Linked DNA regions of Coturnix japonica. Each later gene encodes a partner of the first gene's protein in a complex. Links are inferred from orthologs where the notes say so. Each region holds a gene or a part of one and is shown in the gene's direction. Other genes may lie near its edges. The genes, in order: EIF3J and EIF3F.

Region 1 (4,419 bases):
TGCAGAGCCACGTTCCTCCGTTTGTTTTTTTTCCTTCTGGTTCTGACTTCCTTATAGCACTGCATTGCGAATCATTACCTTTATTCTCTGTCTAATCAGCCTGAATCAGCCAGCACCTGTTAGTGTAGGCATTAAGGTAGATGATGGCACTTGGAACTTCACAAAAGAACCGAGGAAGGCCCCATTAGTGTTGGGGTGTCCGAACTGCGGCTGCAGGATTCCCTGTGTTGTTCCATTCTTCTGAATGGGGGGCTGGATCAGCACTGAACACACTGGGGAACTAGGAGAGTTATCTGTGCCTTCTCTGTCTCCTCTCCATCCTGTGCTCCCATTGCCTTCCATGTTAAGGACTTGGAGAGCACACCTTTACAAAGCTAAAGTTCCAGTGTCAAATGAATGTTTGCACAGTTGCAATGAATCCGGTACGTCTGGCCAGATGGAATGGGTTTCAGGAAGTCGAGGCCAAAAAGTAAACGCTCACAACATGTTGTCATTGAAAGAAAAGACCAGGCAGCTCCTGGTGCGATATCAGCGCGGCTGTTAGGTTTGTTCCAATAAGTGCAACGAGAAACTGATTGCTATGACATGAAAATAACGTCTTCCGCTGTAAGTAGAGTTTCAAGTCAAGTGTGGGTTATTTTGATGGGGAAAGGACTTGGGTCTGCGCAGCAAAGCAGGCACGTGGCTCAGCCAACTCCATGGAGCTTCTGTATCATTATCAGCACCTGAGACAGGTGGAATCGAACGATGAGAGTCAGGCTGTGCTCTAAGGGCTGAGCCACCGCGTCGCTGCAGATCCGCACCTTGGGTTGTGGGTGCTTAAAGAGAATGGTTCACAAGTTGCTAAATGGCTGATGAGAAGTAGCATAGGTGCGTTGTTTTCTTAGCTAGTTGTCATTATTTTGTACAAAAAGATCTATATAAATTAATAAAAAAAAAAAGCAACTTCTTTGTTTGGAAGCAAGGAAGGCTCGGCAAGGATTGCCTTGTACAGGTTCTGTTACGCACATCACTATTTGGGTTGTCTTGACTGTGTAATGTAATACTGTTTTGCTTTATTTTTTTTATACTTGCAAAGATGTCATTGTACCGATAGGCTGAACCTTGTAAAATACAAATGGGAGAGAACCAACGTCCTACAGAGCTGTGGTTTTTTTCTGCTGTGGTTTCAGGATATCGAATCCTACAGATTTCTATTAAATATTTATACTCCGGTTGACGCTGTGATGGTCTGTAGCTCTGAGCCCTGCCAGCTCCACTGTGCAGCCCAGGGGCTGCCCGGCCCAACGCCGGCACTTCCAGCCGCCTCAGCTGCGTTTCTGCCCCGTGTTCCTGAGGTGATCCCCGTCCTACCCAGCACCGAACCGCCCACCCGAGCACAGCGGGCCGGGACAGCCCCGGCACGGCCCGTCCAGCCCCGGCACGGCCCGTCCAGCCCCGGCACGGCCCGTTGTACCGCACGGCGCCCGGCCCGGCCCCGCCCCGCCGGGGGGAGCGGCCTGTCAGCCCTCCCAAGATGGCGGCGGTGCCGTCACCTCACCCCTCCCAAGATGGCGGCTCGGCCCCACCTCATCCCTCCCAAGATGGCGGCCGCAGGGGCGGGCCGTGCTCCCATGGTGCCCCGCGCGCCGTGCGCTGAGCTGCGGCTGAGTCAGCTCGCGCCGCGCTCCCGCGGCAAGATGGCGGCCGAGGCGGATTCCTGGGGTAGGTGTCGGCCTGGACCCGGTCCATCCGTTCCATCCGTTCCATCCGTTCGGTCCGTCCGGTCCTCGCTCCGCTCACCCGCTGTCCTTTCTGCTTCCCCCCACACAGACGCCGACACCTTCGAGGTGGTGGAGCCGGTGGCGAAGCGGTTGGTGCCGGGGGTGGCCGGAGATCGCTGGGCCGGAGAGGACGAGGACGACGACGTGAAGGTGCGTCGGGCCGGGACACTCAGCGCCGGGTCGGGCCGCTCCGATCGGATCCGGGCCGTGATGCGCTGTTGGCCGTCGGGTGTTGTTCGCTGTGGGGCCCGGGAGCCGACACGGCCCGAACGCGGCTCCTGGCGCGGTCCGGTACCGCTGGGCCACGGGGAGCGGAGTCGGGCCGGGAGCGGGTACGGGGAGCCGGGCGGGGAGGAGCCGGAGCTGCGGGGGGTGTCACGGTGCTGCCAGAACCGAGCGGGGCTGCAGGGCGGGATGGCGGCCACGGGCTGACGGAGCAGCGCTGGGATGGGGGGTTTGAGGCGCTGCAGCACGTGGAGGCGGGAGGATGGAGCCGGGCTGCGATACAGCGAGTGACTGAGCTACAGCGAGTGACTGAACTACAGCGAGTGAATGCACTACAGCGAGGGGCTGCATTACAACGAGGGGCTGCATTACAGCGAGTCTCCTGCCGCCTGGCCCCGCTGTGCTCCCAGCACGGAGCTCTGTGTGCACAGCAGCCGGGCAGCACGTGTGGGTGGGATCGGGATGGAAGGAGCCGAAGCTCACAGCAGCGTTTTGTGGCCGGTCCAGCTGCTGTCGGGGCTGTGACACGCAGCGGTGCAGCTCGGGGTGTCGCCTGGTCGCCACGTTGTGGTCGCTGGGTGAAGCCCTGCACGGTGCTGGGTGAGGGCTCAGTGCTCGGCTGGGTCGGGCTGTGCCGCTGTTTGGAGGATATTGGAACCACCAGCACCATTGGAGCTTAGGGTGGAATTCCTTCTGTGGGCAGTGTGAGAGCGTTCCCTTTATAAAGAGATACTTGTGTGAGTTAGGAGCTGTCTGTTCTGCTTCTGAAGCACAGTGACACCACACCCTGTGGTTATCACTGCTGTGGCATTACAGCACACAAGGTGAGTGGGGGTATCTCTGTGAGCAGCGTGGTTACAGCGTCACTGGATGCACGTATGTGACACTGGCTGCAGTGTGTGCGTACCTGTGTGTGTTTATATAGAACACATACAGAGCGCTGGTGAAGTTTGCTTTTCTGCCTTCCTTTGGAAGTGAGGAACCTTCCTGGTATCCAGCGTGTCCAGGAGAACTGCTCTGTGGGGTGGTGCTCATAGGGACAGCTCTGCTGTCATAAAGGAGCAGCTCCCCGTGTGCAGCAGTTTGGCTTCCTCCCCCTTTCTCGGGGTCACACTATTAGTACCAGAGCTGCACCTGGAGCTGAGGGCTGGATGGCAGATAGGAGTGTTTCATTTCCATTTGCTCGTTGTTTAAATGCTGGAGATCTCAGGGCTGAGCCTGGGAGGTGGATACTGGAGCTCCTTGTTTGCCAGGGTCAGCCTTGGAGTATGGATATAAGGGAAAGATGTGAGCGCGGTGTTTTGCGTGTTCATGTTCTTGCTTTGTTTCCTACATACTCGGATCCTGTAGTTTGTTTTGCAGTTGTTTTGATCTTAAAGTAACCCCAGAGTTCAGGAAACATTGACTTCCCCGGGTTTCAGATCATCATCTTCATTGGTAACGCAGCTGCTCTCAGCTGTTACCGGGCACAGCTTGCCCAGCAGACAGGCCTGGTGCCAACAGGGTTCGCTCTATTTATCCCTGGGCAGCTCTTGGTTGGAGGCTGTGCCCTGGCTCAGTGTCAGTGCTGGAGGAGGAGAGATGGGGCTCAGCTCCTGCTCCAGCTGCAGCGGTGGGAGCAGCTGCTGCACACTCACCCCTTGCACACTCACCCCTTGCACACTCACCCCTGCTCACTCACTCCTGCAGTGCTGACAGGTGCTTGGAGCAGCTTTGGGGCGGGTTGTTCCCATCTGAAGGCAGCAGTTGTTGGAGGAGGCGGTCGCTTCCTGCAGCCCCGTTGGTACTCGCTGCCCTCCTGCTCTGTGTGCTCGATCTAAACCCCTCCGTGCAGGCTGGGCACCGAGCACAGCAGTGCTGAGAATGGCTGTTTAAGAAATGGGTGTAACAGGTTTAATTAGATACGAGCTGAATGAGCGCTGCTGCAGATTCAAGTCAGCCTCCTGGAATGTGGATGGAAGCCGGCTCTGCCACAGGTGCGGGTTGGCCCAGGGGAGCTGTGGGGATGCGCTGTGACGCCGCGTTCCTCCTCCGGGTAAATGGCTGCTCTGAGTGCTCACGTTTCTGCTCTGAGGCCCAGCTGGGGATTGTGGTTGTAAAGCTCACCCATAACGTGTGCATGGCCTGCGTGGCTTCTGTGCAGACCAGGCCCTGCCAAAGGTGAGCTCTTAAGCTTACAGGTTCCACTCGTGCTGGTAACTCAAAGTAGATTCCTGGGCCATTTCTTGGCTTTAACTTGTGGTGCCACATGTACCTTCAGGGCTGTGACAAAGCGCTGATCTGTACACAGAGGGCATCAGTGGGACCTGGAGGGGCACCAGGGGAAGAACACGTGTCCATTAATGATACCCAGCTAATTGTTGGGAGGGGGCTGCACAGCTGACGGCACTGTGCTCAGCTCCCAGGTCAGAGCCCTTATTTTACAGCTCCA
Region 2 (4,343 bases), on another chromosome or scaffold:
CAGCTCCCCATGTCAAACAGGATCTCTAATAATTAAAGTAGCCCCATAAAACATTGCAAAAAAAGTGAGGAACGGTTTGAATTCCTTCTGCTAATATGAAGACATATCAACCAATGCATTATACTAGAAATTAGGCTGCCAACAATAGCCGTTCATCTACTAGCAACCACAAGTGAACAGGAAGCAGAGGAGTATCCAAAACACTCCATTGAGGCTGAATAAGGAAACTACCACTTAGTTTTAATTTAAAACCCAGAAGCCACTGACCATCACTACTTCATACTAAAGCCCCAGAGAAATCCTAGTAGCAATTGGATGGACCAGTATGATAGAAAAAGCATTACAAAAGAGATGCAATGATAAAAGGACCAACACAGTAGAAAGGTGCTATAAAGTAAGAGAAGATTGCTCACCTGTATCAGAAAATTCTAGGTTTGCAGCATAAAGCTTCACTAAGGAGAGATCTCCAGGAAAAAACCCTTTACTAGCAGCAGTCAGCCCTTAAATAAGGTCTAAGAGAGGTGCAGGCAGGCTGCATCCCCTCCAGGCACACAGCTGAATTGCCTTCACCTGTGCTCCCAGGGCTGACCAGTCCTTTCCCCAGCTGTTCAATCAGTGGTTCAGGCCGTGACTCAACACTTACCATACAGTCCTGAAAAACACAGATAACCAACAGCCAGCCAAAGCATTGGCAATATGACCATGAGAAATGGCAGAGAGGGAGTTCCATGAACACAGTGAGAGCTGGAGACACAGACCTGATGTTCCAAGCAGGAAAAGAGACTTCCATTCTTTGATACCAACAGATTCAGAAAATCAGTCTTGCTATTCTTTTTCCTAATTATGCTTATCTACATGAAATGCATATTTTATTTTACCTGTAATTCAATGCAATATTTTTAATGTACTCTAAGGGGTTTTTCGCCTCTCAACAAGAAATTATGTTTATTCCCATTGCACAAGCAAGATGAGACGATAGCTACTGATATAGAAATTATATATCAGCTGTGAAGATGCAGCCGACATAACAGCACATGCAAAAGTAATGGCTCAGTGACGTGTAAGGGCTGTAAAAAGAAATCACACCAGAGAATCACAGAATTGTAGGGGTTGGAAGGGACCTCTAGAGATCATCGAGTCCAACCCCCTGCCAAAGCAGGCTCCTACACCACGTCACACAGGTAGCACAGCTCTGCCTTTGGCAGACAGGAGCTCAGCGCTGCGCCAGCCCATGAGGGGGCGGATGCTCACGGAAGTGGCGTATGTGACAGGCGTTCCGATCAGCCAATTGTCGTGGCCGAGGTCTCTCCCCTTTCTCTTCGCAAAATGGCGGCTCCTGCTCCCGCTGTGGCTCCGGTCCCTCCCGCTGCCGCCCCGGCTCCCAGCCCCACGGCTGCTCCCACTACACCCACGGCGGCCGCGCCCCCTCCGCCCTCAGCCCCGGCGGCACCGCCGCCCTCCGCCCCGCTGTCCGCCGCGCTCTCGGGTCCTTTCCCCGGCGGCCGCGTGGTGCGGCTGCACCCGGTGGTGCTGGCCTCCATCGTGGACAGCTTCGAGCGGCGCAACGAGGGCGCGGCGCGGGTCATCGGGACCCTGCTGGGTAAGAGCCGCAATGCCGCAGCCCCCACTGATACCGCCCCACTGATACCGCCCCACTGATACCGCCCCACTAAGACCAATACCGCCCCACTAACCGCTGTCGTCCCGCAGGCACCGTGGACAAGCACTCGGTGGAGGTCACCAACTGCTTCTCCGTCCCGCACAACGAGTCCGAGGATGAGGTACGGTGTGGGGGCTATGGGGGATGTGCCATCGGGGCTCCTGCACCCGCTGACTCGGCTCTGTCCCCTTCCCCAGGTGGCTGTTGATATGGAGTTTGCCAAAAACATGTACGAGCTGCACAAAAAGGTGTCTCCCAGTGAGATCATCCTGGGCTGGTGAGTTCTATGGCCACAGGGAAGTGCGGGCAGTTGTGCAGGTCCCTCAGATACCTCAGATCTGTCATTGCTGTCAGAGGCTGGAAAGCAGAAGCAGCAGTGAAGTCGTGCCATCACTCAGGATAGGAAAGGATGCTGTCGCAGACTTAGAGCGTTTTTGGTTAGTCTAGAAGAGCTGTCACAGACAGGAGGGTTGGGAATGCTCATGGATCTATTAGAATGCAGTGATACAGTCTGTAAGGTAACTAGCTGGAGGGAGAACACAAAAGTACCAAAGGGCTGGTGGGAAACGGTGATGTTAGCCTGAACACAAGGGTGTTCTCTGAGTAAAGGTGGAAATACCTGTGATGGGGTGTTACAGGAAAAGAACTCGTTTGTGCACGGATAACTGGCCTCGTTTGTCTATTGACATCCTCTCTGGCCCCTTTCTATGGAACAAAATCCTACAAGCGCAGAACTCTTGGCTTCCTCAACAACCCATCATGGCACAGCAAGGTGCAGTTCTCATGGCAGTCGCTTTCCTGTGCATGCAAGAAGTTAATTGCGGAGCAATTGAAGGAGCGAGATGAACAAGCCCTGCCTCCTGCACAGGGGTGTTTAATTTGTTTAAGATTTACTTTGCTGGTCCAAATTTGCTTGGCATGCTTTGATTTATAAGGAAATAAAGATTTGGCCCAGAGCATAGTGACAAAAAACTGACTCTTTTTGATGGTAATACAACACTGACCCTGTGCATGTTTTGGGCATGTGTGCACTCAGCCTATAATTCTAGGAGAGCCATAAAACTACACATGACCTAGTTATAATACTAGTCTTTACTATGTGTCTGCAACTCAGTGCTTGGACATCAGGGTTTTAGAATACAGACCTGTTAAATACCAACAAATACTGGGCATTTGAACATTAGAAGAGTGGTCTTTCAACATTTGCTTTTTCCAAGGTACGCAACAGGTCACGACATCACAGAACATTCTGTCCTGATCCACGAGTACTACAGCCGGGAAGCACACAATCCAATCCACCTCACTGTGGACACAAGTCTCCAGAACTCACGCATGAGCATTAAAGCCTATGTCAGGTACATGGGGACAGGAACTGTCTGAATTACTAACAGATATTGTATCAGGATGGCACCTACAGCTTGATAGTGTTGCTTAGAGCCCTATCCAGCCTCGAATGCCTACGGGAATGGGGCATCCACCACATGTCTGGGCAACCTGTGCCAGTGCCTCACCACCCCTATTTTAAAAATGTTCTCTTTTTGTCCAATGTAAATCTCCCCTCTTTTAGTTTGAAACCATTTCCCCTTGTCCTATCACAACAGACTCTGCTGAAGAGTCTGCCCCCCTTCCTTCATATAGCTTCCCCTTTAGATATTGAAAGGACACACTCAGGTCACCTCACACCATTCTCCAGGCTACACAGCCCCAGCTCTCAGCCTGTCCACGTAGCAGAGTTGTTTCATCCCTGGGATCCTATTTGTGGCCCTCCTCTGGATGCACTCTAATAGGTCCATGTTTCTCCTGTGCTGAGGACTCTGCATCTGGATGCAGTACTCCAGGTGAGGCCTCACCAGAGCAGAGGGGCAAGATCACATCCCACTCCCCGCTGGCCACGTTTCAGGATACAGTTGGCTCTCTGGGCTGCAAAGCATGTTGCTGGCTTGTGTCCAGCTTAACATCCATGAGTTCCCCCAGGTCCTTTTTGGCAGGGCTGTGCTCCATCCTTACATCCCCCAGGTTATACTGATAGCAGGGGTTATCACGACCCAGGTGCACTTGGATTTATCAAACCTCATGAGGTTTACCTGGGCACACTGCTTGAGTCTGCCTAGGTCTCTTCAAATGGCATTTTATCCCTCAGACATGTCAGCTTCACCAAGAAGACAGTACTGAACTCATCATGCGCTTGTACTGATAAATGTCAGACCAGCTAGGAATATTTTTGGATGAAAATTTGCAGTTAATAATATACCTGTATTGATTTCCTGTCCTTGGTTATACATGGTATTAATATTGCTGATTTTACTGACAGTGAGTAACCTATTCGTGTTCACACTGTAGTGCTAATAAAGATCATTGAGATGGAAAATTATTTCCTTTCAGATGTGTCCATGCTGAATTTATGTGTTTTTCCTAGTGCCCCAATGGGAGTCCCTGGTAAAACTATGGGCGTGATGTTCACACCACTGACAGTGAAGTATGTTTATTACGACACAGAGCGGATAGGAGGTGAATGCTTTATTCCTATTTTGGGTCTAACCATTGTCGTGATACTGTTCAAATGCTGTTTGGTTATTAAGCCTGGTAAAATTACCACTCTGGGGGGGAATTAAACTGTCTCACTGAACCTGATGCTATCCTAGAGAGTATTGAACAAGTTAAAGTTTTAAGCTGCTTTCTGTGT

What was found.
Region 2: EIF3J (region 1) and EIF3F share a complex: the UniProt entries of both Homo sapiens proteins name them as parts of the eukaryotic translation initiation factor 3 (eIF-3) complex. The link is inferred for Coturnix japonica from reciprocal best matches to the Homo sapiens genes EIF3J and EIF3F.

What each region holds. Positions count from the first base shown.
Region 1 is NC_029525.1:17,935,921-17,940,339, reverse strand, and holds the start of EIF3J (eukaryotic translation initiation factor 3 subunit J), read left to right. Parts: upstream 1-1,535; 5' UTR 1,536-1,550; coding exon 1,551-1,704; intron 1,705-1,812; coding exon 1,813-1,913; intron 1,914-4,419. UniProt on the Homo sapiens protein: Component of the eukaryotic translation initiation factor 3 (eIF-3) complex, which is required for several steps in the initiation of protein synthesis.
Region 2 is NC_029521.1:13,754,660-13,759,002, reverse strand, and holds the start of EIF3F (eukaryotic translation initiation factor 3 subunit F), read left to right. Parts: upstream 1-1,304; 5' UTR 1,305-1,326; coding exon 1,327-1,600; intron 1,601-1,710; coding exon 1,711-1,781; intron 1,782-1,857; coding exon 1,858-1,937; intron 1,938-2,877; coding exon 2,878-3,015; intron 3,016-4,076; coding exon 4,077-4,168; intron 4,169-4,343. UniProt on the Homo sapiens protein: Component of the eukaryotic translation initiation factor 3 (eIF-3) complex, which is required for several steps in the initiation of protein synthesis.